Linked DNA regions of Cricetulus griseus. The main gene of each other region encodes a partner of the protein of the gene in region 4 in a complex. Links are inferred from orthologs where the notes say so. Each region holds a gene or a part of one and is shown on either strand. Other genes may lie near its edges. The genes, in order: olfactory receptor 51E2, Fzd7, Vipr1, guanine nucleotide-binding protein G(s) subunit alpha isoforms XLas-like, Hrh2, Fzd6 and Gpr6.

The links.
Region 1: the proteins of guanine nucleotide-binding protein G(s) subunit alpha isoforms XLas-like (region 4) and olfactory receptor 51E2 are in contact, whole or in part, in a cryo-EM structure (PDB 8F76), measured with the Homo sapiens proteins. The link is inferred for Cricetulus griseus from reciprocal best matches to the Homo sapiens genes GNAS and OR51E2. Residues at the interface, in NP_000507.1 of Homo sapiens: Gln31, Gln35, Arg38, His41, Asp215, Val217, Phe219, Tyr358, Phe376, Cys379, Arg380, Ile383, Gln384, Arg385, His387, Leu388, Arg389, Gln390, Tyr391, Glu392, Leu393, Leu394; in NP_110401.1 of Homo sapiens: Met58, Tyr59, Asp120, Arg121, Ala124, Ile125, Cys126, His127, Pro128, Leu129, Arg130, His131, Ala132, Leu135, Asn136, Asn137, Ile220, Thr223, Val224, Leu227, Pro228, Ser229, Glu232, Lys235, Ala236, Thr239, Cys240, Lys294, Thr295, Lys296.
Region 2: the proteins of guanine nucleotide-binding protein G(s) subunit alpha isoforms XLas-like (region 4) and Fzd7 are in contact, whole or in part, in a cryo-EM structure (PDB 9EW2), measured with the Homo sapiens proteins. The link is inferred for Cricetulus griseus from reciprocal best matches to the Homo sapiens genes GNAS and FZD7. Residues at the interface, in NP_000507.1 of Homo sapiens: Asp381, Gln384, Arg385, His387, Leu388, Gln390, Tyr391, Glu392, Leu393, Leu394; in NP_003498.1 of Homo sapiens: Pro285, Ala364, Lys368, Trp369, Gly370, His371, Ile374, Ile450, Ile453, Met454, Asp457, Thr459, Lys463, Leu464, Leu467, Lys552.
Region 3: the proteins of guanine nucleotide-binding protein G(s) subunit alpha isoforms XLas-like (region 4) and Vipr1 are in contact, whole or in part, in a cryo-EM structure (PDB 8E3Z), measured with the Homo sapiens proteins. The link is inferred for Cricetulus griseus from reciprocal best matches to the Homo sapiens genes GNAS and VIPR1. Residues at the interface, in NP_000507.1 of Homo sapiens: Gln35, His41, Val217, Phe219, Asp323, Arg342, Asp343, Leu346, Tyr358, Pro361, Phe376, Cys379, Arg380, Asp381, Ile383, Gln384, Arg385, His387, Leu388, Gln390, Tyr391, Glu392, Leu393, Leu394; in NP_004615.2 of Homo sapiens: Arg174, His178, Tyr239, Leu240, Leu243, Leu244, Ala245, Val246, Ser247, Phe248, Arg252, Leu319, Lys322, Leu323, Pro326, Asp327, Ile328, Arg329, Lys330, Ser342, Leu345, Leu346, Leu391, Asn392, Gly393.
Region 5: the proteins of guanine nucleotide-binding protein G(s) subunit alpha isoforms XLas-like (region 4) and Hrh2 are in contact, whole or in part, in a cryo-EM structure (PDB 9IXJ), measured with the Homo sapiens proteins. The link is inferred for Cricetulus griseus from reciprocal best matches to the Homo sapiens genes GNAS and HRH2. Residues at the interface, in NP_000507.1 of Homo sapiens: Gln35, Arg38, Ala39, His41, Asp215, Lys216, Val217, Asp343, Leu346, Arg347, Thr350, Tyr358, Phe376, Arg380, Asp381, Ile383, Gln384, Arg385, His387, Leu388, Arg389, Gln390, Tyr391, Glu392, Leu393, Leu394; in XP_006714928.1 of Homo sapiens: Arg116, Ala119, Val120, Met121, Pro123, Leu124, Arg125, Tyr126, Pro127, Val128, Ile205, Val208, Ala209, Gln212, Ala213, Arg215, Ile216, Ile219, Ser220, Trp222, Lys223, Lys231, Ala232, Thr235, Leu236, Leu291, Asn292, Arg293, Asp294, Arg296.
Region 6: the proteins of guanine nucleotide-binding protein G(s) subunit alpha isoforms XLas-like (region 4) and Fzd6 are in contact, whole or in part, in a cryo-EM structure (PDB 8JHB), measured with the Homo sapiens proteins. The link is inferred for Cricetulus griseus from reciprocal best matches to the Homo sapiens genes GNAS and FZD6. Residues at the interface, in NP_000507.1 of Homo sapiens: Gln384, Leu388, Gln390, Tyr391, Glu392, Leu393, Leu394; in NP_001158087.1 of Homo sapiens: Arg226, Ala310, Lys314, Ser316, Cys317, Val396, Gln407, Lys409, Leu410, Phe413.
Region 7: the proteins of guanine nucleotide-binding protein G(s) subunit alpha isoforms XLas-like (region 4) and Gpr6 are in contact, whole or in part, in a cryo-EM structure (PDB 8TYW), measured with the Homo sapiens proteins. The link is inferred for Cricetulus griseus from reciprocal best matches to the Homo sapiens genes GNAS and GPR6. Residues at the interface, in NP_000507.1 of Homo sapiens: Gln35, Arg38, His41, Val217, Phe219, Asp323, Asp343, Leu346, Ser349, Thr350, Arg356, Tyr358, Cys359, Phe376, Arg380, Asp381, Ile383, Gln384, Arg385, His387, Leu388, Gln390, Tyr391, Glu392, Leu393, Leu394; in NP_005275.1 of Homo sapiens: Met107, Asp165, Arg166, Ser169, Leu170, Ala173, Leu174, Thr175, Tyr176, Tyr177, Leu182, Ile248, Val252, Arg254, His255, Ala256, Gln258, Ile259, Leu261, Gln262, Gln263, His264, Lys276, Gly277, Thr280, Leu281, Arg332, Asn333, Gln334, Glu335.

Annotation. Positions count from the first base shown.
Region 1 is NC_048596.1:96,622,213-96,625,036, reverse strand, and holds olfactory receptor 51E2, read right to left. Parts: upstream 1,464-2,824; coding exon 501-1,463; downstream 1-500. UniProt on the Homo sapiens protein: Olfactory receptor. Activated by the odorant, beta-ionone, a synthetic terpenoid. The activity of this receptor is probably mediated by G-proteins leading to the elevation of intracellular Ca(2+), cAMP and activation of the protein kinases PKA and MAPK3/MAPK1.
Region 2 is NC_048595.1:413,755,485-413,759,609, reverse strand, and holds the start of Fzd7 (frizzled-7), read right to left. Parts: upstream 2,801-4,125; 5' UTR 1,931-2,800; coding exon 212-1,930; 3' UTR 1-211. UniProt on the Homo sapiens protein: Receptor for Wnt proteins.
Region 3 is NC_048597.1:228,643,537-228,647,832, forward strand, and holds the start of Vipr1 (vasoactive intestinal polypeptide receptor 1), read left to right. Parts: upstream 1-1,496; coding exon 1,497-1,574; intron 1,575-4,296. UniProt on the Homo sapiens protein: G protein-coupled receptor activated by the neuropeptides vasoactive intestinal peptide (VIP) and pituitary adenylate cyclase-activating polypeptide (ADCYAP1/PACAP).
Region 4 is NC_048599.1:4,771,606-4,775,703, forward strand, and holds the start of guanine nucleotide-binding protein G(s) subunit alpha isoforms XLas-like, read right to left. Parts: upstream 2,801-4,098; coding exon 448-2,800; intron 235-447; coding exon 1-234. UniProt on the Homo sapiens protein: Guanine nucleotide-binding proteins (G proteins) function as transducers in numerous signaling pathways controlled by G protein-coupled receptors (GPCRs).
Region 5 is NC_048596.1:273,264,966-273,267,918, forward strand, and holds Hrh2 (histamine H2 receptor), read left to right. Parts: upstream 1-1,376; coding exon 1,377-2,453; downstream 2,454-2,953. UniProt on the Homo sapiens protein: The H2 subclass of histamine receptors mediates gastric acid secretion. Also appears to regulate gastrointestinal motility and intestinal secretion. Possible role in regulating cell growth and differentiation.
Region 6 is NC_048603.1:12,938,597-12,941,242, forward strand, and holds part of Fzd6 (frizzled-6), read right to left. Parts: coding exon 2,412-2,646; intron 407-2,411; coding exon 258-406; intron 1-257. UniProt on the Homo sapiens protein: Receptor for Wnt proteins.
Region 7 is NC_048595.1:263,550,278-263,553,767, forward strand, and holds Gpr6 (G-protein coupled receptor 6), read right to left. Parts: upstream 2,029-3,490; coding exon 937-2,028; 3' UTR 501-936; downstream 1-500. UniProt on the Homo sapiens protein: Orphan receptor with constitutive G(s) signaling activity that activate cyclic AMP. Promotes neurite outgrowth and blocks myelin inhibition in neurons.

The DNA.
Region 1 (2,824 bases), on a different chromosome or scaffold from region 4:
GAAAGGCTGAAAAACACTTGTCATTCAGCCTGGACCATCTTAAGCATACATGATACATTCATAAGCATTACTATTTAGAGTTTGGATATGTTCCTGGGTAGTGAATAATAAACTTGAAGTGAAGGAAACAAATCTTGGCTACCATTTTAGAAGTTATGCATAACAGCTGAACAATAGCTTCACGACAAAGAGAGTATGAATAAAACAAAGTCATTGATAATTTGAACCTATTCCATCCAAATGACAAACCTGGCCAGTTAGTTTAAATCACAATTCCTATTTTCTTTTTCATCACTGTGTCTCATTTTATAGCAGAGTCTTTAAGCAACACAATATTCATTGATATATATTATTTCACATTATATCCACGATGAAGATAAACCATACTTTAGTTCACTATCCCATCCAGGGAAAAGCACTAATGTGCTTATGGGAATTAAACAGGTCTGATCAATTACTATATTAAGCTCTCTAGAACAAGGGTGATGGAATGGTAAGGGTCACGTGTTTCCTCCAGCTTCAATGTCCTTGTCACAGCTGATCTTGAGCATAGCCAGCACCCGTGTTCTGATCTGCTTTGTCTTAGCACCATAGATGATGGGATTGATCACCGGGGGCAGCAGAAGGTAGACATCCCCCATGAGAACATGCACAATAGGGTCTAGGCTGTTTCCAAAACGGTGTACCACTGATAAGCCAATGAGTGGTACATAGAAAGCCAGAACCACACCAATGTGTGACACACAGGTTCCAAATGCCTTAGCTCGCTCTGACTTGGAAGGCAGTTGCAGAACTGTTCGTATAATCAGAAAATAGGACAAGGAGATGAACATGACATCTACACCCATGACGAGCAGAATGGCAGTTAGGCCATAGACTACATTGGGCAATGTGTCTGTATAGGCCAACTTCATCACATCCTGATGGACACAATAGGAATGGGAGAGCACATTGGAGTGACAGAAGGCCAGCCGCTTGATCAGTAGTGGGAGTGGGAAAAAGAATAGGGATCCCCGGACCAGAGCCACCATGCCGATTTGGGCTGTCACTGTATTGTTGAGCACAGCAGCATGACGCAGTGGGTGGCAGATGGCCACATAACGGTCAAAGGCCATGGCCAGCAGGATGGTAGATTCAACTGCCGAGAGAGCATGAATGAAGAACATCTGGGCAAGACAGGCATCAAAAGTAATCTCCCGGGAATCAAACCAAAAGAGGGCGAGGATCTTGGGCATGGTGGATGTGGACAAAGCCAGATCAATAGCTGCCAGCATGCAGAGAAAGAGGTACATGGGTGCATGCAAGCTTCGCTCTGTCCTTACGATGAACACGACGATGCAGTTTCCAAACAATGCCACAGCATACATGGAAAGCAGTGGGAAGCCAAACCAAAATTGAGCTTCTTCCAGTCCTGGGATACCAATAAGCACGAAGGTGGCATGTGTGAAATTGCAGGAGCTCATCGCTGACACCAAGTGAGTAGTACTGGAGAGGGTGAGGTCACACTGACAGCCTGCAAGGACATGGAGCAGAATGAGAGAGTCCCCTGGAGCTTGATTCTCCAGAGAGTCCCCTGGAGCCCTCCCTCCCTTCTCACTCTGCCTCCATCTACACCTCAGCTCTTTCATAAGCTACATGGCTTTCTTTTCCAAAGGAAGAAATGTAAATGCTGAAAACTAGTTTATTATTCACCATTACTAAGGGACACTTAAAATTTCAAAATAAAGCTTTGGTGGAAAAATACTTATCCCCGAAGTGTGACTTCCTCGAAACCTCTTTTTGTCTCTACCTGGACTGTCTGGATACTAGGCACTCTACATTTTGTAAAATTACCATATTAACTAACTTTTCAGATAGAGATATCACCTTCCCTTGCTCTCCCCATCCCTTCCCTGTTATTCTCATCTTCGTTTTATCCTTCTTTATTTCTGCTTTCCTTCCTTCACCATTTTTCTTTCTCCTCCCTCTCTCTCTCTTTATATTTATTAATTCAAATTTCAGAAGTAATTGCTTGAATGACCTGTTAAGCACAATGCTGTTTTTGAGACACAGATCTGGGAATCATTCCTTTGGGCCTCCACAAGGCTTGCTTAGGACAGGAGATGGATAAGTAACAGATACATTAGAGCATTGTGGTAAAGCTAGCAGAAGAGATTCATTGATTTCAGGGGATGACAAAGACAGAGGAGCTTTCCTAGACATGATGTTCATTTCATTTCAGTCTTGGAGCATGAGCAGAATTAGGTAGATGGAAGAGACAATAAAGGATTTTCCAAGGCAGGAGGAATAGAAAATGCTTTTCAAAAAAAGAGAAAGAAAAGAAAAGAAAAAGGAAACTTATCTGGACTCAGAGAACCAAACGTACCAGCTCCTTGGAACTCTCTCTTTGCAAATGAAGATGCCGGCAGGATCCATTACCTCCAGTAGCTGGCCAGCAGCTAACTGGTTGCTTGGAAGTCACCACCAAGGGTGTTTTCAAAGCCCTGATTTGGGGAGCAGTATTACTGATTTTTTTATGATGGTATTCTGAGGATTTCCCTTGGGATCTGTGCCAGTCAGTCATTCATGTCAAGGGAGGGGTTTCTTCTCTCGGTTTTCCGGAGCCCAGTGTTGCTTTGTTTCAATCTCATTCCCATCTTATCATCTGAGTACTCACATAAAACTCTTTCTCTGCCAGACTCCCTAATGTCCTGTTTTTAGAGCTGGTTAACTTCAGCAGTTACTGGCTTGGGTATGAGAATCAGGGGCTTTGATGCTAAGAAGCAGATGATGCAGGTGTCCTTGTTGACAGTATCCAGGGTACCCTGATTAATTTGTTTATCTC
Region 2 (4,125 bases), on a different chromosome or scaffold from region 4:
GCCTTTTGACTTTTCACTCAGGCCCTCTCTCAAAACCACCTCTAACCCCAAATCTCTTCTCACCTCCAATTAACTTCTCACTTCCATGTTAAAGCTCAGTGGAGGAGGGGGTAGCCTACAGAAACAAGTCCCCACCCAGCAGTTCTTTCCCTACCATGCCTCTCCTCCTACAAGGAGGGAGAAGTGGCAAGGTTGGGAGAAGGACCGGGGCTCATACCGCAGTCTCCCCCTTGCTGCTGTGGCTGAGTCTGTGGTAGAAACGACGCCATGACTGCAGGGTCTTGCCAGACCAGATCCAGAAGCCGGTAGTGATGCCCACGATCATGGTCATCAGGTACTTGATCATGAAGACTGTGAAGTCGGGGCTCATGGGCGGGAAGTGACCCGGAGGGCAGGGCACAGCGTAGCTCTTGCAGGTCTGTAGGAGCCAGGTGCGCTCCCAGTGCTCGCGGAAGGCCTGCTCGTAAAAGTAGCAGGCCAGCACGATGGTGGCCGGCACCGTGTAGAGCACGCTGAAGACGCCGATGCGCACCATGAGCTTCTCCAGTTTCTCGGTCTTGGTGCCGTCGTGCTTCATGATGGTGCGAATGCGGAAGAGAGACACAAAGCCGGCCAGGAGGAAGGACGTACCGATGAAGAGGTAGACGAAGAGGGGCGCAAGCACGAAGCCCCGCAGCGCATCCACACTAGACAGGCCCACGTAGCACACTCCACTGAGAAGGTCCCCGTCCACCTGGCCCATGGCCAAGATGGTGATTGTCTTGACTGCCGGCACAGCCCATGCGGCCAGATGAAAGTACTGCGAGTTAGCCTCGATGGCCTCGTGGCCCCACTTCATGCCAGCTGCCAGGAACCAAGTGAGGGACAGAATGACCCACCAGATGGAGCTGGCCATGCCGAAGAAGTAAAGCACCATGAAGAGGATGGTGCAGCCCTCCTTCTTGGTGCCCTGCGCCACCGTGCGGTAGCCATCGTCCGAGAAGCGCTCCACGCACACGGCACGGTCCTCCAGCAGGAAGCCCGCCACGTGCGCCACGGCCACCATGAAGTAGCAGCCCGAGAGGAAGATGATGGGTCGCTCTGGGTAGCTGAAGCGCCGCATGTCCACTAGGTAGGTGAGCACCGTGAAGAGCGTCGAGGCGCAGCACAGCACCGACCACACACCCACCCAGAGGCGGGCGAAACGCCTCTCCTCCTCTTTAAAGTACATAAGGCCGTTAGCACGGCCGGGCTCACACGGGGCACCGCAATCGCGCTCACCTAGGAAGCGGTAGCCCAGGTAGGGGGGCACTTTGAGCTGGCGCGGGCACGAGAAGGGGAAAGACCACCGGCCTCTGCCATCTGAGGGGGGCATGGCAGTGAAAGGCGGGTCTGGCAGGTAGGGAGCAGTAGGGTAGGCGGTGGGACTGCCGCCCGCGCCCCCGGAGCCGTCAGACGTGTTCTGGCCCACGCAGATCTCGCCGGCGCCGTGCACCGGGAAGTTCTCGCAACGCAGCCGCTCAGGCCACTGGAAGCCGAACTTGTTCATGAGAGCCTCGCAGCCTTGGCGGGCGCGCTCGCACAGGGAGCGGCACGGAGGAATGGCTTGGTCGAGCACCGTGCATACGGGCGCGTACATGGAGCATAAAAAGAAGCGCAGCTCGGGAGAACACTGCACCTTCACCAGCGGGTAGAACTGGTGCACCTCGAGGCCGGCGTCCTCTTGGTTCGTGTGGCCCAGCAGGTTGGGCAAGATGGTCTGGTTGTAGGCGATATCCGTGCACAACGGGATGGAGATGGGCTGGCAGAAGCCGTGGTCCGGTACCGAGATGCCCTTCTCGCCGTGGTACGGCTGAGCCCGGGTGCCCGCAGGCAGCGCGCCCAGAAGCGCCAGCAGCAGGGCGCACAGGCCCAGGGGCGAGTGCGACGCCGCAGTGCCGGGGCCCCGCATCGCGGGCCGCGAGTGCAGTGGCGTTCTCAGCTGGGGGAAAAAGACGAGGCGCTGGGGAGCGGCTTGGATGCAGGGAGGCGCCGCCGCGCCCGGCGCATGAGAGTCCTCCCGGCGCCGGGGCCGGGCCGTGGGCGGCGCGGAGCCGAGGGCGCTAGGTGCCTGCACGGCGGGGGCGAGGCCGCCAGTCGAGGGGGCGCCGCAGCCGCCTCCGCGTGGCACTCACGCGGCCGCCGGGGGCTCAAACTCCTGGGCCTGGGCTGGGGGATCGGGGGTGGGGTGTCGCCTTACCCTCCCCGCCGAGACGTAACGGTGCGGCTTTCTCTTGGGCGACGGGCTCCAAGCGTCTCCGGTTACCTTTCAAAGTTTGCCCAAGTCTCTCGAGCCCCGGGCGCACGGCGATGCCCACGTCCCCACACCGGGTAGGGCCTCCGCCAGACCAGAGCCCCGCGTCCCCGCCTGCTCGCCCCGGCCGCCGCCTCGGCGGTGCAGCTCCGCCTTCTCGCCTCGAGGCCCCGCGGGCCGCCGCCTCCTCCTCCTCCTCCTCCGAACCTCGAGCCTCCTTCAGCCCGGGGAAGGTCGGCCCCAAGTTTCAGTCAAACGTCTGGTTCTCAATTTGAGTCCGATCGGTCCCCAGGAGCTAAGAGCTGGGCGAGTTCTTTTTGGAAACCCAGTTGCGCGGAATCCCAAGCGCCGAGGCTCCTGCACCCGCGGCCTGTCTGCTCTCGGCCTCTCCTGCCGGCTCAGTCCCGGCCGGCGAGTCCCCGCGTCCGCCGCCGCCCGCCAGGGAAGGAGCGCAGAGTAACGCCTGGGAGCCGCGCTGGTGGCTAGAAGAAGCGTCGGGCTCGCAGGGTTTCGGGCCGCCCCGCCCCCTCCCCTCCCCCCATTCACAAACCACTCCGGGGGCGGGCCCCGAGCCCTCCGGAGGCCCAATAGCGCGCTTTGTTTTCTCTGTAGACGCCTTCCGATTGGGTGGAAGTCGGAAGGGGCGGCCGAGGGAACGAGGAAGGCGGTGCCTGAAGCGCTCTGGGCGGATTCCTGAGGGGAGGGGCGGGGGACTGGGAGAGAAAAGTTAGGAGAAACTTTTACCCAGAATTTGCTCAGGGGAGAAGAACGCACCAGAAAGGGAATTTGTTTGAAAGATTGGTTCCTCTTCCGGATACCCTAAAACACACATTCCTGAGCAGAAGGGCGCATTCGCCAAAGGCTTCGGCGAGACGCTGAGAATAGCGCAGCGCTTGGGCGGAGAGACGTGACCCAGAGTCACGTTAGCCTGGCTGGCTTGGGCGGGAGGCTTTTGGTTAGCATCAGTGTGGGTCGGGAAGGGGCTGCGACTGAAGATCGCTCTTTTCTCCCCATACCCAAACGACCACATGAAACCACAATCCCCTCTCCCTCCCCCCAGTTACAAAGAAGGGGGCCTCCTGGAAGGAGAAACCCGAGTCGGCCGAGGTGGGGACTTGTGGCGGGAGGAAGTGCAGACCCTCGGAGGAGAGGGCCCAGAGCTGGGGGTGCGCGGGACTCAAGAGCCAGCCACCCCGCCCGCGCGCACTGTGGGGAGCGTAGGGAGCCCGAGAGGTTGGGGGTGGGGTTGGAGGACGCTAAGGCAGTGCTGGGGGAATGCTTATGAAAGCAACCTGAGACCGAGTACCCGGGACTCTCCGTACGATTTACTGAGCGCCTTCGGTTGCCCTGTGTGGCCTTCGGGGGTCCCGTTTTCGTTGCAGAAGCAACCATTTGATCTTTGCATTTGGAATCTACATAGAAAAGTTTTAAAGCGCGTTAGAAACCAGGGCATTTGCTAATTAAAGGGCTTTTGAGACACAAAGAGGGGTTATTTTCCTTCTGGGATAGCGTTTTTCTGATTGGCAAGCGTTCTTTTGTCCTCGGTCAAATCTTAACCCTGCTCCAGGCACTGGGCGCTCGTGCGCCTTGTCTGCCTGTCCCGGACCGGTCGGAAGTTACTAAGGGACCTCTGCTCTCTCAGAGGGGCCAGCAAGGAATATCATGAATATTATGAATTCCCGGGCAGGGAAGTGACAAGTTGAATCTCTCTGTCGTCCCTGAAGTCTTACTTTCAAAAAAACGTCATTCCTGGCTGAGTCCTACTTTCTACCTGTCTCAGTTGGTTGCCGGTATATGAGAGATTTTTGATCAGTTTGAATGTTGAATGTTGGCAGGAGTCATTGCCTCCAGGA
Region 3 (4,296 bases), on a different chromosome or scaffold from region 4:
GTGTCCAGTTAGCCCAATCTCTATAAGGAAGTAGAAACGGCAGGGAGCGCCCCCGGTATCCATTTACCTCCATGCCCTGATGTGTGTAGGAGGCCTGGCTGAGAATCCGAGACTAATAAAGTTCGGGGCAGAGAGAGCAAGGAAGGTGCGGTGCACTGATGTAGGGGATGAGGTGGGGGGGGGGTAGAAAGCTCCACCCAGCCAACAGAAATGGAGGAAGGCCAGGGGTCGCTTCCAGACTTTTCTGTAACCGTCCTCAAGGCCACGCCCACAGCCCTAGTTTCCCACGTTGCAGGTTGGGAAGGCCAGAGAGTCCTCGGGGAGATTCCCGCGCCCCTGCTGGCCAGAAAGCGCCTGGAGACGGACCTCCTCCAGAGGATCGCACACTGCACTGGCGCGCAGGGACACGAGGCTCTCTCCGTGTCTGCACCGCACCCGGGCCCTCCTCCCTCCTTCTGTCCCGTCGCGCCGTCAGCCCCCCACATCACCTTCTCACTGGGACCGCCCGAGCTCTCGGAAAGACGGGGCAGGCATCTGCCCTGGTTCCCTAATAAGTGGCGCGCAGAGAGCTCTGAGCGGGTGACTCCGCGCCCCACGCCAGCGCACAGTAAACCGAGTCCCAAAGACAAGCGTAGGAGGCAGCGCAGTCCCGGCTGGCCGGCCGGCGCGATCTTGGAGCCGCAGCGCGGGGCACCGCTCCCTGCTCCTGGTTCCTGGGGACCTCAGACTCTGGGAGGAAGGGTCTGCGGGCAGCCCGGGCCCGCGAACAGGTACAGCTTCGGTCCCCGCGCCGTGGCGCTGGCGCGTTGACTCCGCGTCCCTCGCAAGCTGCGCGGGCCGAGACGCGTCCATCTCTGAGTGCGCCCTGCGAAGGCCCTAGAGCGGCCTGGAGGAACCCCGGGTCAGGGCTCCCGGCTCCGGCTGCGCTCCCCTCGGCTTCTCCCCGGCCACAGACGGCTCCGGCAGCGCGATCCGCGGGACCCCGTTGGAACCCAGTCTGGAGCCCCGGAAAGCGGCGGACCCTTCTGGTCCAGCAATCTGGGCTGCGCGCGGCGTGGGAACCAAGGAGGCGGCCGCTCCTCTCCACCCACCCGGTCCCCGTCCCCCTGGAGCGGACGGCCGGAGGGGCGCGCTGCCGGGGACCGAGGGCCGGGGGCGCGGCCTGGGCGGGGAGAGCAGGTGCGGGCGCGGGAACGCCGAGCGGTGCGGAGCCGCTAGGACGACGCCAGCTGAGGCTCCCGACGACGCACACCGCTAGCGGACTCCGCGCTCACGCCCCCGGGCGCCCAGGCTCCGCCCCCTACCTGCGCCGAGGCCCCGCCTCCGCCGCGCCATTGGGCGACCCCGCTGCCCGTCAGACGAGCCCCCGCCGCCCTCTCCAGGCCGGAGCTGCGCCTCTCAGCGCGGGGGCCGCCGGCCCGCGCCTCTCTGCCGAGCTGCAGCAGCCGCAGACCCCGCAACCGCGGCGGCCGCCTGCGGCGGGCTCAGGGCGGACCATGCGCCCTTCGAGCGCACCGCCTGCCCGCTGGCTCTGCCTGCTGGCAGGAGCCCTCGCCTGCGCCCTGGGACCCGCGGTGAGTGTGCGCCCCTCCACCCGGATCCCCGGAATGAGGGAGCTGCGGGGGCGGAGGATCTGGGGCCATCTGGCCATCGGGGGGCAGCAGGAGCGCGGTTCTCATCTTCTCTCTCCACCCGGGACCGAGTCTAGCCCAGAGGCGTGGGAGCTCGATGGCACCGGGTCCCTCCCAGCACAGCCTAGAGGGCTCACCTCGGGGCGATCTCAGGCAGCGGTGGAGAGGTTGAGGGCGAGAGGGAGCCCCAGCCTGGCGTTGCGAGGAGTATCTGTGGGGGTGCGTGGGGAGGAGAGCTGGGGGTGGCAGGACCTGGTGAGATGGGAGATCCGGTAGACTGTGAGGTGGAAAGGAGGCTGTGAGGGTCTGCAAGCGTCTCTGGGCATTATGTGAACTTGTGGGATATGAAGACCTCCGCTAGCAGCAGATGCAGCGTTCATGCCTGTGGCCTGGGAAGGGGTCGTTGGTATCTTATGGGTGACAGGACTGTCCCCTGTGCTCTGCCTCCTCTAACTATAGGATGGTGGGCAGAGAAAGGTCAGAGTTGGTGGCAGGGACTGGCATGTGCTGGGGAAAGCAGGGGCCCTTGCTCTGCCTCCGACCTCTTCTTCCTCGCACACCGGTATGTGTGTGGGTGTGATCCTGTGGCTGTGGATGGATCGCCAGGCCTGTGGGGCAGATGCGGCTGGGTGGCCTTCTCTGAGAGTAAGGAGGATCTCAAGACTAGGTCTGCCCATTTTACAGAAGGGCAAATGAGGCCACAGGAGCCACACCTGTCCTCGCCAGCCGTACTTGGGTAGAGGTGATCGTCTTCCTCCCTTTGCTCCTGGCCTGTGGGTCTGCTGCTTCAAGACAGTCTTTTCCCAGGTGTTTTCTGGTGGAAACAGCAGGCTGTCTGGAGGAGGGCGGGGAATCTTGGTCACCTAGTGGGTTCTCTCCACGGTTACCTCCCCTTATCATCGCCTGCGCCAGAGCAGGAATTGGGAGGTGAATCTGTGTCCACCTAGCTGGTGTCTGGCACACCCTCACCTGGGAGGGCTCATCCTCTGGTGAAGGTGCAGCCCTCTGAGAACTGCCCCCTCCTCTAGTTCAGAGTCCCACCTCCTCACACTCCACACTCCGTCTAACTCTGTCTCTTCACGTCACAGTCTTCAGGCCACATAGCAGCAACTCTCCAGCTCTCCCAACTCCGGGTCCCAGCTACTCAGGTTCATTTTGGGGTCTTTGCACAACTGGAGGTCTCCAGGTGCCCTCCATCTGGACATAGCTTGAGCCCAGCCCCTCCAATCCCTTCTTCTTGTCTTCCCGGGTCTTATTCATTCAGCACCACTTCTGGTTTCCTCTTCCTGACTGCTTCAGATCTCCCACTCTGACCCCATCCTTCCGTTCCACTACCCGTCCCGTCTGAGCTGCTCTGCCCCTCATGTGGAGTCAGACTTACTGTCTGCTTGGTCCAGTTCAGGGCCCGGCCCACAAAAGAAGGGGAAGGGACTCCGCCTGGCCTGGAGGAGGGTCCCTGTTCTTGCCTTGCCATCCTTACTTGCTCCCTCCTGGAACGGACACCCAGTGTTCCTGCTCCAGCCGGACTTGGGGGGGACATGTTATCAGAGCCATAAAATGGCAGCTGCAGAGTTCACATTGAAGGCACAGAGCCTTATCGCTCTGTTTATGGGGCCCTGCCTTGGCCTGGGAAGGGAAATCTTTGAACAGGGAAGCCAAAAAAAAAAAAAAAAAAAAAAAAAAAAAAAAGGAAAGGAAAAAGAAAAGAAACCCTCTGGTGCCCGGTGTCCCAGAGAAGGAAGTAAAGTATGTCCCAAGGTCTCCCGTAGCTCCTGTCCCCCAGGGCAGCAGACAGATGCACAGTGCCAAGCTGGTGGGGACACTCAGACTAGAGACAGTCTGAGGTCCTTAAGAGTTTCCGCTGCAGGAGCACAGCACAGCCAGTGACTTCGAATGGATGTGGGGCACAGCCTCTAAGAACTGAGGGACGGGGCTGCTGTGACAGCAGACAGACAGACAGACAGACAGACAGACAGACAGACAGACCCCCTTGGAAGAAAAATGAAGTTTGGCTACATTGGCCAACCCTCAACTGTAAACTGTGAAAACAGCCTTTGCTAGCCTGGCCCCAGAAGGTGGAGAGAAGCCCAGTCCCTGGGTCCCCTTAGAACCTGGATGGCTGGGATGAAGGGCAAGGCTGGCTCCTCTGAGTATCCCCAGACAGGTGGAAGTCCTGCTTCTGAGGGTCACACCTCACTGGAGGAGTCCTTCCTGGCCACTACTATGAACCTTTCCAGGGTCCTCTCACTACTGCCCAGGCCTCTGGCCTCAGCAGACCTCACTGAACTTTAGGAAATATGGTGGCTACTGGGCCAGGCTACTTTCTGGACTAGAGACAACCTTAGTTATTCCTGTTCAGGACTCCCAGGGCCTCCCTGAAAGACAGAAGCCTCTAGAGGTTTATGCCTCCCCCTCCTAGACTCTGGAGGCCTAGCCTCCTCTGAGGCTTCTGCAGCTTGCATTGGGGTCACAGCTTAGGACTGGAGCCTTAAACCCTGTCCTACCCCACAGCCATGCCTAGTTGGCTTGGAAAACATCTCTAACCTCTATAGAAGAACCTGTTTTCCCCATTTCTGACTGGATGAGAGAACCCTGGGCCCAGTGTGAAGGAGAATTGGGAGGGCAGAGCTAGCCCCACTTTCTACTCTGAACCCTAGGTCCCACA
Region 4 (4,098 bases):
CAACAACAAGCTGTCTGAGTCGAAGCAGCCGTGCCAGGCGAGGCGGGGGCGCGCACCCCGATGGCCCTAGCCCACCGCGGTCACGAACAATTAAGCCGGGGGAGCCCCGAAGGGCCCTCCCCAGCAGTTCTGGGCTCACCTCACGCCCCCGCCTGTCCAGCCTACGATCGCTGGCGCTGGCGCTGGCCTCCGGCCGGTAACGACCCTCAGTGTCGCTCGGCACCACTTTTCTCCCTGGAGGGTATATACTTCGGCCACCCGAACCCTCAAAAAATCCCCTCTCCCACCCCCAGGGCAGAGTTGGGGTCCCTCCGTGGAACTTCTATCAGGGTTTCCAGACCCCCTCCTCCCGTGGTCAAGGCCCAAGCCCCACCGGAAGGCCCTACCACCTCCTCCCCGGGTGCCCAGGGCGGCCCTACTGCCCAGGGGCAGAAGATGCCGCATTACCTAGAAGCAGCAGGCGGTGTGTGCACATGTAATCCATCTTCTCCTCCTCCAGTTGCTTGTCGATGGCCTTGCTGCGTTTCTTATCTGCGCGTTTCTGCTCTCGCATCTCAATGGCCTCTTTGCGCATCTGTTTGCGCCTCTCTTCAAAAGGATCCTTGGCCTTCCCGGGGCTGAGGGAACGGGCTCTCTCGGGGGCTCCGAAGCAGCTTCCAAAGGTTCTGGTGAAGAAGTTGCGGATTGGGTTGCATCCGACCGTGTGGCTCCGGGTCTGGCCGGGGCGGCGGTTTCGTCGCAGAAGGTACTGGAAGCAGCCGTTGGCCCCTTCTTCCGACTCATCGCTGGAGGAGTCAATCTCGCAGATGACGGATGATACCTCCTCGTACCTGCAGCAGCTTCGGCCACGTTCATACTTGTCTGGCCAGGCGCTCGGCCTCGGAGCAGGCCGCGGAGTAGGCGGGTCAGCAACCTGGATCTCGGGGCTGGGGGGTCTAAGATGGGCCCTGCTCGGGGCGGGAGGGTATGCCCGGGAGGCAGACATTGACCGGGCGACAGAGATTGGGTGGCCCGCAGCGACTGCCCGGGCAGCAGAGGCTGCCCGGGCGGCGGCAGCTGCACGGGCCGGGAGGCATGCCCGGGCGGCAGGAGTAGCCGAGAGTGACCTGGCTCCCCAGACCAGAGGACCTGCATAGGCTGCCCTAGCGGCAGTTGCCCGAGCGGAGGCTGGCATCGCTGGGGCGCCAGGGACTGCCCCGGCAGCCGGATGGGCTCTGGCAGTGGGGATTGGCCGGGGAGCGGGCTCCGGAGGGGTGACAGGGGCTGCCCGGGCGGCAGGCTCTGCCTTAGCAGAGACTTCCGCCGCTGCGGGCTCCACCTGGGTGACGGGGGCTGCCCCGGAGGCAGGCTCGGCCTTGGCGGCAGGGACTGCCTCGGAGGCTGGCTCCTCCGCGGCGGCTGGATCTCCTCCACCTTCAGACTCGGCAGGGGTGGCTGCTGCTGCGATGACCGGGGCTGCTCCTCCGTCAGGCTCCGCGCGGACAGCTGGGGTGGCTCCGACTTCTTCGGGATCGGTTTGGAGATCCGCGGGTGTTGCTGGGGCTGGAGGAGAGCCGCCGCTGGCAGCCGCGGAGGCGGCATCTTGTTCGGTAGCGACGGTCTGGGCAGCTGAGGCTGGCTTGTCATCCATGGCTTCTGGCTGGGTGAAGGATCCGTCTCTTCTCTCCGGAGAAGGGACTTTTCCTTCCACCGCAGCAGCGGTGGTTGGGCTTCCTTCCATGTCGGCTGCTTCTCGCTCAACTGGGGGTCTCTCTGCGCCGCGCTCGCTCTTATCTTGTGCTCCGGAGACTTCGATGGGCGGGCCAACACTTGCGATTGGGGGGCCGTCCATATTGACAGTTGTGTCGTCGCCGACCCTAGAGGAGGCTCTGCCAATCTCCAGCGGGGGTCTGGAGATCTCCATTGGGGGACTGTCGCAGGCGAAGTTAGCGGGAGCTCTGATAGCCTCGCTGAACGGTCTGTCAATGGCGCTGTGGACCCAGAGGGGAGGCGCGTTCTCGGCGGGAGCGAGACTGAGCGCACTCGGGACCGCGGCTGTCGGGAACTCGCCGCCAAAGCCGACTTGTCGGGTGACTCGGGGGAGGCCCGGGGGTGGGCTATCGCCCCCAAATTCTTCTCCATCGGGCCCAAACGGCACAGACTCTTCAGGTGGAGGGCTGTAGTCATCTCGCAAGCTAGCGATTGCAAATCTGATGTTCCCGGGCTCCGCGGGAAGTGCTCTGAGGACCTCTGCCTCCGGACCTCCTGGCGCAAGGTCTGGGACTGGCAAGGGCGACTGGCTATGGGCTTCCTGGGCAGGCTCGTTGAACTCAAATGGCATAGCTTCTTCTGGTGGGGGGCTGTAGGTTCCCTGGGCGGGGCTCGCACCACTGGGGGTCCCGGGCTCCAAAAGCGCTGGATTGAAGGTTTTGAGACCTGCTTGGGCCCCAGATCTTCCAGGCTGCTCCAGGGTGGGCCAGAAACCTCCGGGGCTGGGCTGTTTCGTCTCAAATGGCATGGATTCCTCTGGTGGGGGGCTATAGTCTCCACCCACTCCGACTTCCTCGACCGCCTGGTGGACGCCCTGAAAGTCGGTTCCGGAGACCCCCTGGGGTCCATAGCCCTCAGCGCCGTTCTCGGCGGGGATGGGCTCATTGGCAGACGGTTCGGCCTCCATTTCTTCGGCTGGGCCAAGCCCAGCACCGGGGGCAACTGCCCCTGGGGCCTCCAAAGGTTCTTGCTCGGGCTGCTCCCCGACTTCACCGGGGATATCGTGTTGTCCTGGCATATTGTTGCCGTGGACGCGGCTGCGCATGCCCATAACACGGTTGCGGTTTTTTAAAATAAATTTGGGGCCCCGTAAGACGGAGCACCCAGCCAAACTAGGGTCAAAAAATTTTTTCTTTTAAAATATTCGAGTATTGGCTGGAAAGTTCTCCAGCCTCAGTTTCCAATCTTTGTAAGGATAGATTCTGAGAGGCTAAAACTCAAGATCGTGGCTGAAGTACCTCATTTCTTGCTGGGAAGACCCGGAGCCTCCGGAGCCACACTTCTGCCTTCAAGTTGCGGTCGGCCAGCCACTCCCACGACTTTTCTGGACTCTCTTCTTACTTTGCTAACTTTGGCCCCGCCTTCTTGGCATCTAAGAGCGTGCCGATTCGTCTCGAAAATCGTTAGTAAAACTCTTTCTCTGCCGCCAGAGGACGCCGGTCTCAGTGCTAAGCCGGCTCCGGGAGCTGGCTCCCGGTGCCGGCAGTTCCCGACTTTGGGTATGGGGGCTGATGAGCGCAGGCCTCGCAGGGAGGTTCGCCTCCTTCCTCTCCTCTCCCAGACTGCTTCTGAGTCTGAGCTCCTCGCTTTTCCCCTGGCCAGAGAGAGAGAGCGCGCTCTCCTGCGTTGCTGGGCCACGTGACGTAAGACGTGGGCATTGGTCTGACAGAGTACAGGCGCTGAAACCCTCCCGCCCCATCAGATTCTTCCCGAGGGGAGGAGGGACTGCAGGAGGACTTTGTCACCCCAGATTACCCCAGTCTGCGGCAAACACCTTATCCGAGGACCCCAGCCTCGGGCAATTACCCGTTCTCAGCTCTGAGTTGGGGAAATGAGCCTTTAGGATGCCCGGGAAGGGGTAGAGGAGCGATCATAAAAATGCGACAGGTGGTCGTGAGCCCACCGGAAAGGCGGAGAGGGGATGAAGGGCGATGAGTTGTCAAATATGAACACGCAGTTTGTTTTTTAAATGCTCCGGGGTAATTTTATTATTTTTTTTTAAATGTTTTTGTTTGCTGTTTGTCAAGGATAGCTTCGGTAAATCCCCCTTCAATATGCCCCTTCCCCATTACACTTCCGGTGGGGGGGCTCTCAGCAATAGCCTAGCGTGACGCATCAGGCTTCGGCTTGTTTATGTGGATGGTGACGCAGTAGAAATAAGGGTCTCGGCGGTACACTGCGGCAAAATCGAGCAAAGACCCCTACGCGGTTACCGCTGCGGCGCCGGCGGCGCAGATAGGGGAGGGGGCGCGGGGCTTACCGGAAGACCCCCACCTAGCACGGGCTTCTGCCTTCTCAGGAAGGGGGAATGGAGACTGGGTGGGATACGTGGGATCGTGACCCATTTAG
Region 5 (2,953 bases), on a different chromosome or scaffold from region 4:
ACTTGATTGTTGTTCTTAATGTATATATTTTTGTATTAGGTTTAGAACCTTCTTGTTTAGACAAGAAGGGGAAGTGTAGTGGGTATTCACTCTGCCCATGACCTTGGGATATCTGGCCTGAAGGAGGTCTTGTCTGCCTACTTGACCTCTTATAAGGAAGGAGGGAGGGGGTCGCTCACTCTCTTGGGTGGTGAAGACTGGGCCAGGTAATGTGAAGCAGTGTGTGATCGGTCCCCTGCTTCCCAAGGACTCTGGGACTGGATTTACCATATCCTGTATTTGTGAATGTATTTTCCCCTTTTATATCTTAGTAAGTCCTTGATATCCCTTAAACAGATACACGAGGATTTCTCATTACAGTTCCTTGTCCATCACAAAGCTTGACTGGAACACAGCCCACGCACTCTTTTGCGCATGGTCCTGTGTGGCTTCTTTTATGCTACAGTGGCTGAGTTGTCAATTCAGCAGACACCCCACAGGCTACAAAGAAAGGAATACAGGCTGCCTGGTTCTTTCTCTGAAAATCTTCCAGTCCCCAGTTTAGAGTGCTCCCCACGTGTAATAAGAGTAAATTTTATGCATTTCTTTATCCACTCATTCAATGTATCATTAATCAACAGATAACAAATGCCTCCAGGTGGGGTCAGGCACCAGCAAGCAGCTGGGAGCAGATGAAAGCAGTCCTCTCCTAGACCCACCCTTCCATTTATTTCTTCCTCATGGTATTCTAGCCTTTACATCATGGTACCCTTTGCTGTCCCATCATGTGCTCTGACCATCTTGGTCTTCCCTAAGGAAGGGTACCTGGAAGAGTCCCCATGCCTCCTAGTTTCTCACCAGGTGTTGGAAGTAAGAAAGACTTACCTTGGAACAGGCCATGCTGTTGGTCTAATTATGATGTGCTAAACACTCAATCTTTGCCTCTTCAGCTGCTGTGACCCCAGAGAGGGCAGCTAATAGTCCTGACCTTATGCCATGGATGGAAGCAGGCACTAGCCATGGAGAAGGACATGACAGCCTATGTGTATGATCCCTTGCACAAACCAAAACCACCTCAAGACACAGCCACCAGTGCCTCAGCCTCCATGAGAAATCTAGAAGGTAGATGCATACTACAGACCTGGAAGGAATGTGACTTGGAAGACCAGCTGAGGACTGCGGTTTGAACCGCGAAGGCCCTAGTCTTACTTTATTCTTATTTATGTCCTGCACTTCACAAGCAACAGCTTGATTAGTACTACAACAGCATTAGGCCAGTTATTAGACCCTCCCCAACACCCCTCTTTGGCTTGGTTGGGAACTTGAAGCCCAGTGGTTGGAGCTGGAAGAGAAGTGGCCAAGGCCAAGGTTGAGTATAGAAGCTACAGGGCCCCAGAATGGAGCCCAATGGCACGATTCATTCTTGTTGCTTAGACTCTACTGTACTGAAAGTCACCATCAGTTTGATCCTCACCACCCTCATCCTCATCACCGTCGCTGGCAACGTGGTCGTCTGCCTGGCTGTCAGCTTGAACCGTCGGCTCCGCAGTCTGACCAATTGCTTCATTGTGTCTTTGGCGGCGACCGACCTGCTTCTTGGCCTCCTGGTGCTGCCCTTCTCTGCCATTTACCAGCTCTCTTTCAAGTGGAGCTTTGGCCAGGTTTTCTGCAACATCTACACCAGCCTGGATGTGATGCTCTGCACAGCCTCCATCCTTAACCTCTTCATGATCAGCTTGGACCGCTACTGCGCTGTCACGGACCCATTGAGGTACCCTGTGCTGGTCACCCCAGTTCGCGTTGCCATTTCTTTGGTCTTTATTTGGGTCATTTCCATCACCCTATCTTTCCTGTCTATTCACCTGGGATGGAACAGCAGAAATGAGACCAGAAGAGACAATGATACCTTCAAGTGCAAAGTTCAGGTCAATGAGGTCTACGGGCTGGTGGACGGGCTGGTCACCTTCTACCTGCCTCTTCTCATCATGTGTGTCACCTACTACAGAATCTTTAAGATCGCCAGGGAGCAGGCCAAAAGGATCAACCACATCAGCTCCTGGAAGGCAGCCACCATTCGAGAGCACAAAGCCACCGTGACGCTGGCTGCAGTCATGGGAGCTTTCGTCATCTGCTGGTTTCCCTACTTCACCACATTTGTCTATCGTGGACTGAGAGGGGACGATGCCATCAACGAGGTGGTTGAAGGCATTGTTCTATGGCTAGGCTACGCCAATTCAGCCCTGAACCCAATCCTGTACGCTGCCCTCAACAGAGACTTCCGCATGGCTTACCAACAGCTCTTCCACTGCAGGCTTGCCAGCCACAACTCCCAAAAACCATCCCTGAGGCTGAACAATTCTCTGCTGTCCAGGAACCAAAGCCAAGAAGGCAGATGGCAGGAGGAGAAGCCCCTGAAGCTCCAAGTGAGGAGTGGGACAGAAATCACACACCCCCAGGGAACCCCAGACAGGTAAACATCTGTGTGGGTCAGAGGAGACTTCCTCCCACCCCCACCTCTGTGTGGGTGGCACTGAGACCATTCTGTGCGCATTTTACAGAAATCATCTCTCAATGGCTCTCTTGGGTAGAACATTTGCCTTGTTTTTAAAAGGCCACATTAACGGTAAGAGAGATCTCATCAAGGGCCTCTGATTTGGGACCTGGACAAAGTGCTACTCACCCCAGAACTCAGAGGCCCTTCTTTCTAACTAAATGGTCTTTCCACTCGGGTGGCCTAAGTAGAAGGCCCAGCTCTGCCACTTAGGAGTTACGAGTGACCAGTTAGACCCTTAGAGGGTCATTCAAAAGCCATGTGCAAATCAGCTCTTCCTTGGGGAGTGTTCAAGTTAGTACGGAGGGAAAATGGCAGGGGTCAGAAGATGGGACCTCAGTGGAAACAAAAGTGTGGGCCGTGTGTGAGTAGAGCTTGGGGAAAGACAGACATAGTGGCGGGGGGGGGGGCGGTGCTAGGGGC
Region 6 (2,646 bases), on a different chromosome or scaffold from region 4:
ATTGTCCAGCCACAGCTATGAAGTCTGCACCACAAGGAGGCTGATAGCCAAATCAGTGGGAAATGAAAAACCAAAAAATCTACATACAGCACATCAGATACAATATATATAAAGAACCAAGACAAACTATTTACTCCTAAGTATGTGCTGATATTACAGAGCATTCCATGGTTTGAATTGCTAGCACTTTAGGTAAACTCATGGGTATTTTTGTCTGTTTACTCTTAAACAATCTTAAGACATCAGTCCACACTTACTCTCGCTTGCGGTTTCGTTTGAAGAAGCCGGCCCATTCTGTGCAGGTCTTTTTGCTTCCAACCCAGAAGACTGCAGAGATGCCAACGATTAATGTCATCAGATATTTTATCATAAATAAAGCCAGGTCTGGTCGAGCTCCTGGGTTTGCCTACAAAAACAAAATAAAAAACAACATACTTAAAATATAAAGAAAAATCTGCAATGTCAAAGTTGGTGCAAATTATAAACCTTCAGTCTGTTTGAAGTAAATAACACAGAGGAACAACGGTTTAAGTCCAGCACAGTTTTATGACGTTCTGAACAAGGAACTTTTATGTGTGTCAAAATGTGGCTCTCAACAGAAAAAAGTACTAACGGTTTTCAGAATCTTGGTGTGACTTCTTGACTGCTTCCTCCCCTACTGGTAAAGTGGCCTCTTGTAATTACTAAGGTATCTGTCTAAGTATTTACCTATTTTCCTTCACTATGATCTACGTTAAAATATATTTAGGGGCTGGAGAGAAGGCCAGCAGTTGGGAGCACTGACAACTCCTGCAGAGGACCCAAGTTCAGCTCCCACCACCCACATGCTGGGTCACAACCACCTATAACCGTCCCAGTGCTCCCTACTGTCCCTGGTGGCACAAAGCATACATGGGTGCATATACATGCATGCAGGCACACACTCATACATAAAAACAAAAATTAAAAAACACATTTTCTAGTCCTTCTGCATCAATGCACATGTTGTTAAAATTTGTCTGGCTACCACAAAACCAATATTATTAAGATGTGAAAATGTAGAAATTTCATAAAATTTTGTTTAGAGCATCCATTTTCAAATGCTGTTGTGAGTGTCCGAGTACAAAAGTATTACACGGATAGCATTGTATCTTGTTTTTTGTGCTAATTAATATGCCCAGGGCACATACAGAGCTTTGCTTTTAAAGGCATGTTCGTTTGTGGACTCTGCTTTCCTCAACTAGCCCCTATTTAAACGTGTTTACGTTGCTTCCCACCTAGTTCCAACTGCAAATAATGCTGCGCTGCCTATCCCTGTATTATTTAAAGTGATTCTCCAGGAGGAGCTAAAAAACAGGAGGAAAACAGGGAGGGATGGATGGGACAGAGGGAGAAAGGCAGAGGCTCGAAGAGGAATGGAGAAGCCATCAGGTCCAGGGTTCGAGGGCTGGGGAAGTTCTCCATCACCAAGCGACACCCCCAGCCAGATAAATCCTAGTTTCCTTGAATTACTCAATTTATTTGAGACAGAATCTCACTACATTGCCCAGCCTGACTTCAAACTCAACAATTCTTCTACCTCAACCACCCAAGTATACAAGCACTCTGCATACTCTTAAGATTTATGTTCTGGAAACCCCAAATTTTCTTCAAAAATTCAACTGAGATGCTTTAAGAAATTACATGTTTTCAGGAATTTACAATTTTCCACTTTAAAAAGCACCTTATAATACTCATAAGCGTCAGAGACACATTTTCAATTGTGTGTTCTTCTCAGTTAAGAATGACAGGATGGGCTGGGCAAAAACCAATTTCTATTTTTAGAAGCATACACTGCACAAAAGGTTAAACCCAAACATAGGGTTTTCCTACTAATAGAGGAGCTGAAAGAAAAAAAATAAAAACCTTTCTAATTTAGTAGAATTTACTTTTCCTTTTATACCTCTGACGAGGCCTATTCTTCATAATTGTTAATCTGATTTTTTAACCCAATTTAATTGTTGCTTTCAGTTTAATGCTTAAAATAGCTACAGGAGACTTGCTGTATTATTATTATTATTATTATTATTATTATTAATTATTATTATTATAACTACAATCATTATTTTTGTTTTTTGGGGGGGAGGTTTCGAGACAGGGTTTCTCTATGTAGCTTTGGAGTCTGTCCTGTCACTCACTCTATAGACCAGAGATCAGCATCCCTCTGCCTCCCAGGTGCTGGGACTAAAGGCGTGCACCACCAACGCCCCAGGGAGACTTGCGGTATTATAACTGTAACTAGAGCTACGGATTGAGGAATGACCTCTTAGCACGTCACCCAGCCTGACCGGAGCACAGGGAATGACTCCCTATGTCTGTTAGGACTTCTCGAACTGAAGTCTGATTTTCTGACCACGAGTAAACAGTGTCATAATCCAAACGGTCGCTCCTACCTGAAAAGGACACGGGATGCGGTACTGGCGACAATGATCGGAGAACCAAGTTATCTCCCAGGTGACCCTGTTCACTAGCTCATAGACGTAGCAACCTAGAAGTGTCACCAAGGGCACAAGATACAGGCCACTGAAGACTCCAATTCGAATCATGAACTTCTTTAGTTTCTCTTGGTTTCGGCCGTCGTGTTGTATAACTTGTCTAACGTGATTCAAGGAAATGATGCCAGCTAGA
Region 7 (3,490 bases), on a different chromosome or scaffold from region 4:
CCTTACTCCTTGCTACTAGATCCAATTAACAACAATGTGAATAAATCATATTTATAAAGTTATGTTGGGAAGTTGTGGCTTCAGGATTTATAGCTGCACCTATGTGGCTTGAATTGCTTTGTCCTCTGAAATATGTCTTTCTAACTCCAAGGGAGCACACATCACCAAGGGAGCACAATAACTTGTACCAGTAGCATACAGCCTTTCTGTGTTCTGTGAATACTGTCTATGAATGGTACTTCCTCCATGACCTTACCCCACCTCATGATCTGGAGATGGTATTTCAGGGAAAATGTAAGGACACATATGTAAATATATATGATTTCTTTGTATGAGGTTTTCTCTAAGGAGATGCTATGTAATATACTTTAAAAATAAACAGACTCATAATTCAGCTTCCATATTCATAATCCAGCCATACCCCAGATTATATTTTTATAATGTGTTTATTTGTGTACAAAATATGTTGTAGTTTATTGATGCATGTGCAGCAAAATATTCTATCACATACAACAAAAATACACCTTTGACTCCCATTCTCCTGCTCGTGGAATGGCAACACTGTTTTGGCATTTCAGCAGCTAAAAATAAAGTGCTATTATTAAGCAGTATTGGAATGTCTTCACTTGACAAATGTGATGTACATTTGTGATGTACAACTGAGTACACAACCACATCTTGTTTGTTGGTTTTTCATAGAACAGGAAGCTCCAGGTCCTGAACACCTCCAGAAGATACAAATACTTGTATATATATGTACATGTGTATACACTGTATATGTAAAGTGCCAACAAGCCTCATTGTCAGTCCCTTGTCTCCTGTAGAGTCAGAGTCACACCATTGAGATCTCGAGAGTTCATCAGCAGGCACCTAGAAGCTCACCAAAGGCTGGCATGTTGGGTTTGTGGTGTTGGTGAGGGGACACAGAGAAGCCCTTCAGACCTCACTGGGGGACCTGGAGCGGAATGGCACTTTGGATTGGAAACAGCCACAGAACAGGAGCCACAAGGCACGCTGGATCTCCTGGTTGCGGAAGGCATAGATGATGGGATTGATCATGGAGTTATAGGTGGCAGGCAGCAGGGTGACATAGGTGTAGATGGCCGGGTCCTCTTGACTACCCACCACACAATAGATGGCAAAGGGCAGCCAGCTGGCCCCAAAGGTGCCTAGCACCACGGCCAGAGTTCCCACTCCCTTTCTGGTGGCCGCTAGGTGGGGCGGCGCTAGGCAGTGCTGCTGCAAGGCGATCTGGTGGGCGTGGCGCCAGACCACCTGGCAGATGCGCACGTACAGGTGCAGCATGATGCCGAAGACCACAAAGAAGGAAGTGGAGAGCAGCGCCACGTGGCTGCGTGTCAGGGGGCGCACCACGCTGCAGGATGAGCGGTCAGCCAAGCAGTTCCAGCCTAGCACGGGCAGCAACCCCAATGCGAGGGACACTGTCCAGGTGGCTGCCAGCAAGAGGTGCACGCCCAACAGGGTCCGGCGCGAATAGTAGGTGAGCGCGTTGTAAAGGGACAGGTAACGGTCCACTGTGATAGCAAGCAGGCTGCTGACTGAGGCGGCGAAGGAGGCCACCAAGAAGCCCACCATGAGCAGGCTCACAGTTTCCGAGGGCACCACGTATTGGAACACGAAGTGTAGGATGAGGCCACAGCCCGCCAGCAGGTCGGCAGTGGCCAGACTACCCACGAGCACAAACATGGGTGTGCGCAGCGCGGGAGTGGACGCAATGAGCGCCACCACAAGCGCATTTTCGCCTGCGATCACGGTCCCCGACACACACAGCAACACATCCCAGGGATTCACTGCCGAAAGCAGTAGTCCCGACGGCCCTGCTGGCAGCTGCGATGACAGCTCCAGTGACCCATTAGGTCCGCCGCCGCCTCCCAGCGCCGCGGATGCTGCTGGGGGTCCCCATTCGCTGGTGTCCGGTGCCCCTGCTGCTGTGGCCGCAGCTGCCGCTCCCTCAGCGGCCACTGCCACCACCTGGGACTCGTTGAGCGAGGCGGCGCTCGCGTTCATCGCCGCCAGATGTTGCTCCCTGCACAAAAAGGGACCGCAGATTGTCAGGTGCACTCTCCAGGCTACCAAGGAACTTTCTCACGCAGGTGCCCTGTTCAAAATGCCTCACTCAAATTGCATATCCCAGCTCGGGCGCATGGAACATAGTGGGGAACTGGGGATAACAGGCGAACCCCAAATAAGTAAGCACCTGTTGAATGAATGAATGAATGAATGATATACACGGGGCTTCTGAGCTTTGGCACAGATACACATACAGATTACACTGTGCACTCGCATGGACAATCTGGTAAATATATATATGGGCTTGCACAAGCTTTCAAATAAGTCAGTCCTCTTGGAAATGGTCTTAGCTGGGCAAAGACGCTGTCCGAGGTGCTGAAAGCGAAGTTTCAGGTCTCAACATGCAGAGCAAGGAGCCAGAGACCTCGGGTCAGGAATTGGGAACAAAAGGACTAAGGGGGAGTGTGTTAGGTACGGTGGTTAAACCTCGCTCCGATTCTCTGACTCCTGGACAGACTTACTCCAGGACTGTCTCTTACCAAGTCGCCTTCCCCACACGCTCAAAATACCCCTGGGAGCCTGCCACTCACCTGGGGAGTCAGGGCTCCGGGAAGTCTCTGGTCATGCGCTCCGTGGCTGTGTGCCCGGCTATGCTCTCTGCATGGGCCAAACAGCTGCCTGCAGGAGGCGGCCCCGGCGTCCAGGAGGAAGGCGCTGGTCTCCTGTCGTTGAACCACCACCGCGAGTGACAGAGAGGCAGTGGCAGAGAAGGAGGCTGCGAGCAGCGCGCCCGCCCGAGATTGACAGGCGGGGCCCGGTGACGTCAGGCTCTGGGTTCTGGTTCCAGCGGATTACTCGCCACACCCGCCAGGCCAATCCTTCTTGACGTCCCCCACCCCTCACAGAGACATCTCAGAGAGCTCCAGAAGAGAGGAGAAGCCAGAGCCTCCACCAATCCAGAAACCTCCAGGAATGGGATGGGGATGAGAGGAGAGGGAGAAAGGAACAAGACCTGAGGCCAGGCACAGAGAGTGAGCAGGAAAAGGAAGGCGAGGGATGAGTGACAATAAGCCACAAAGCAAAGGTCAGAGCCAAGGATCACCCAGGGGTAGGTGAAGCAGCCATGGAGGAGAGGTTGGGACAGGGGCATCTGGAGAGAGAGAGACAGAGACAGAGAGAGAGAGAGAGAGAGAGAGAGAGAGAGAGAGAGAGAGAGAGAGAGAGAACTCGGGTAAAGTAGTTCTCTTTTAAGTGTTCACAGCGTTTGCATCGCTTGAGTAGAGCCAGGGAAGAAATGAGGAGGAGCCCAGGAGAGCAGGGAAAAGGAAATAAGAAGGACAGCTGGGACAAGCTGGCTTCTTCTCCAGGAGGAGTTTACCTGAGCAGTCCTCTCTCCCATTGTCTTTCTGAGTCCTGCTCTGCAGGTTTCTCCTCGATCTCCGCCCTTCTTTGCTGCTGC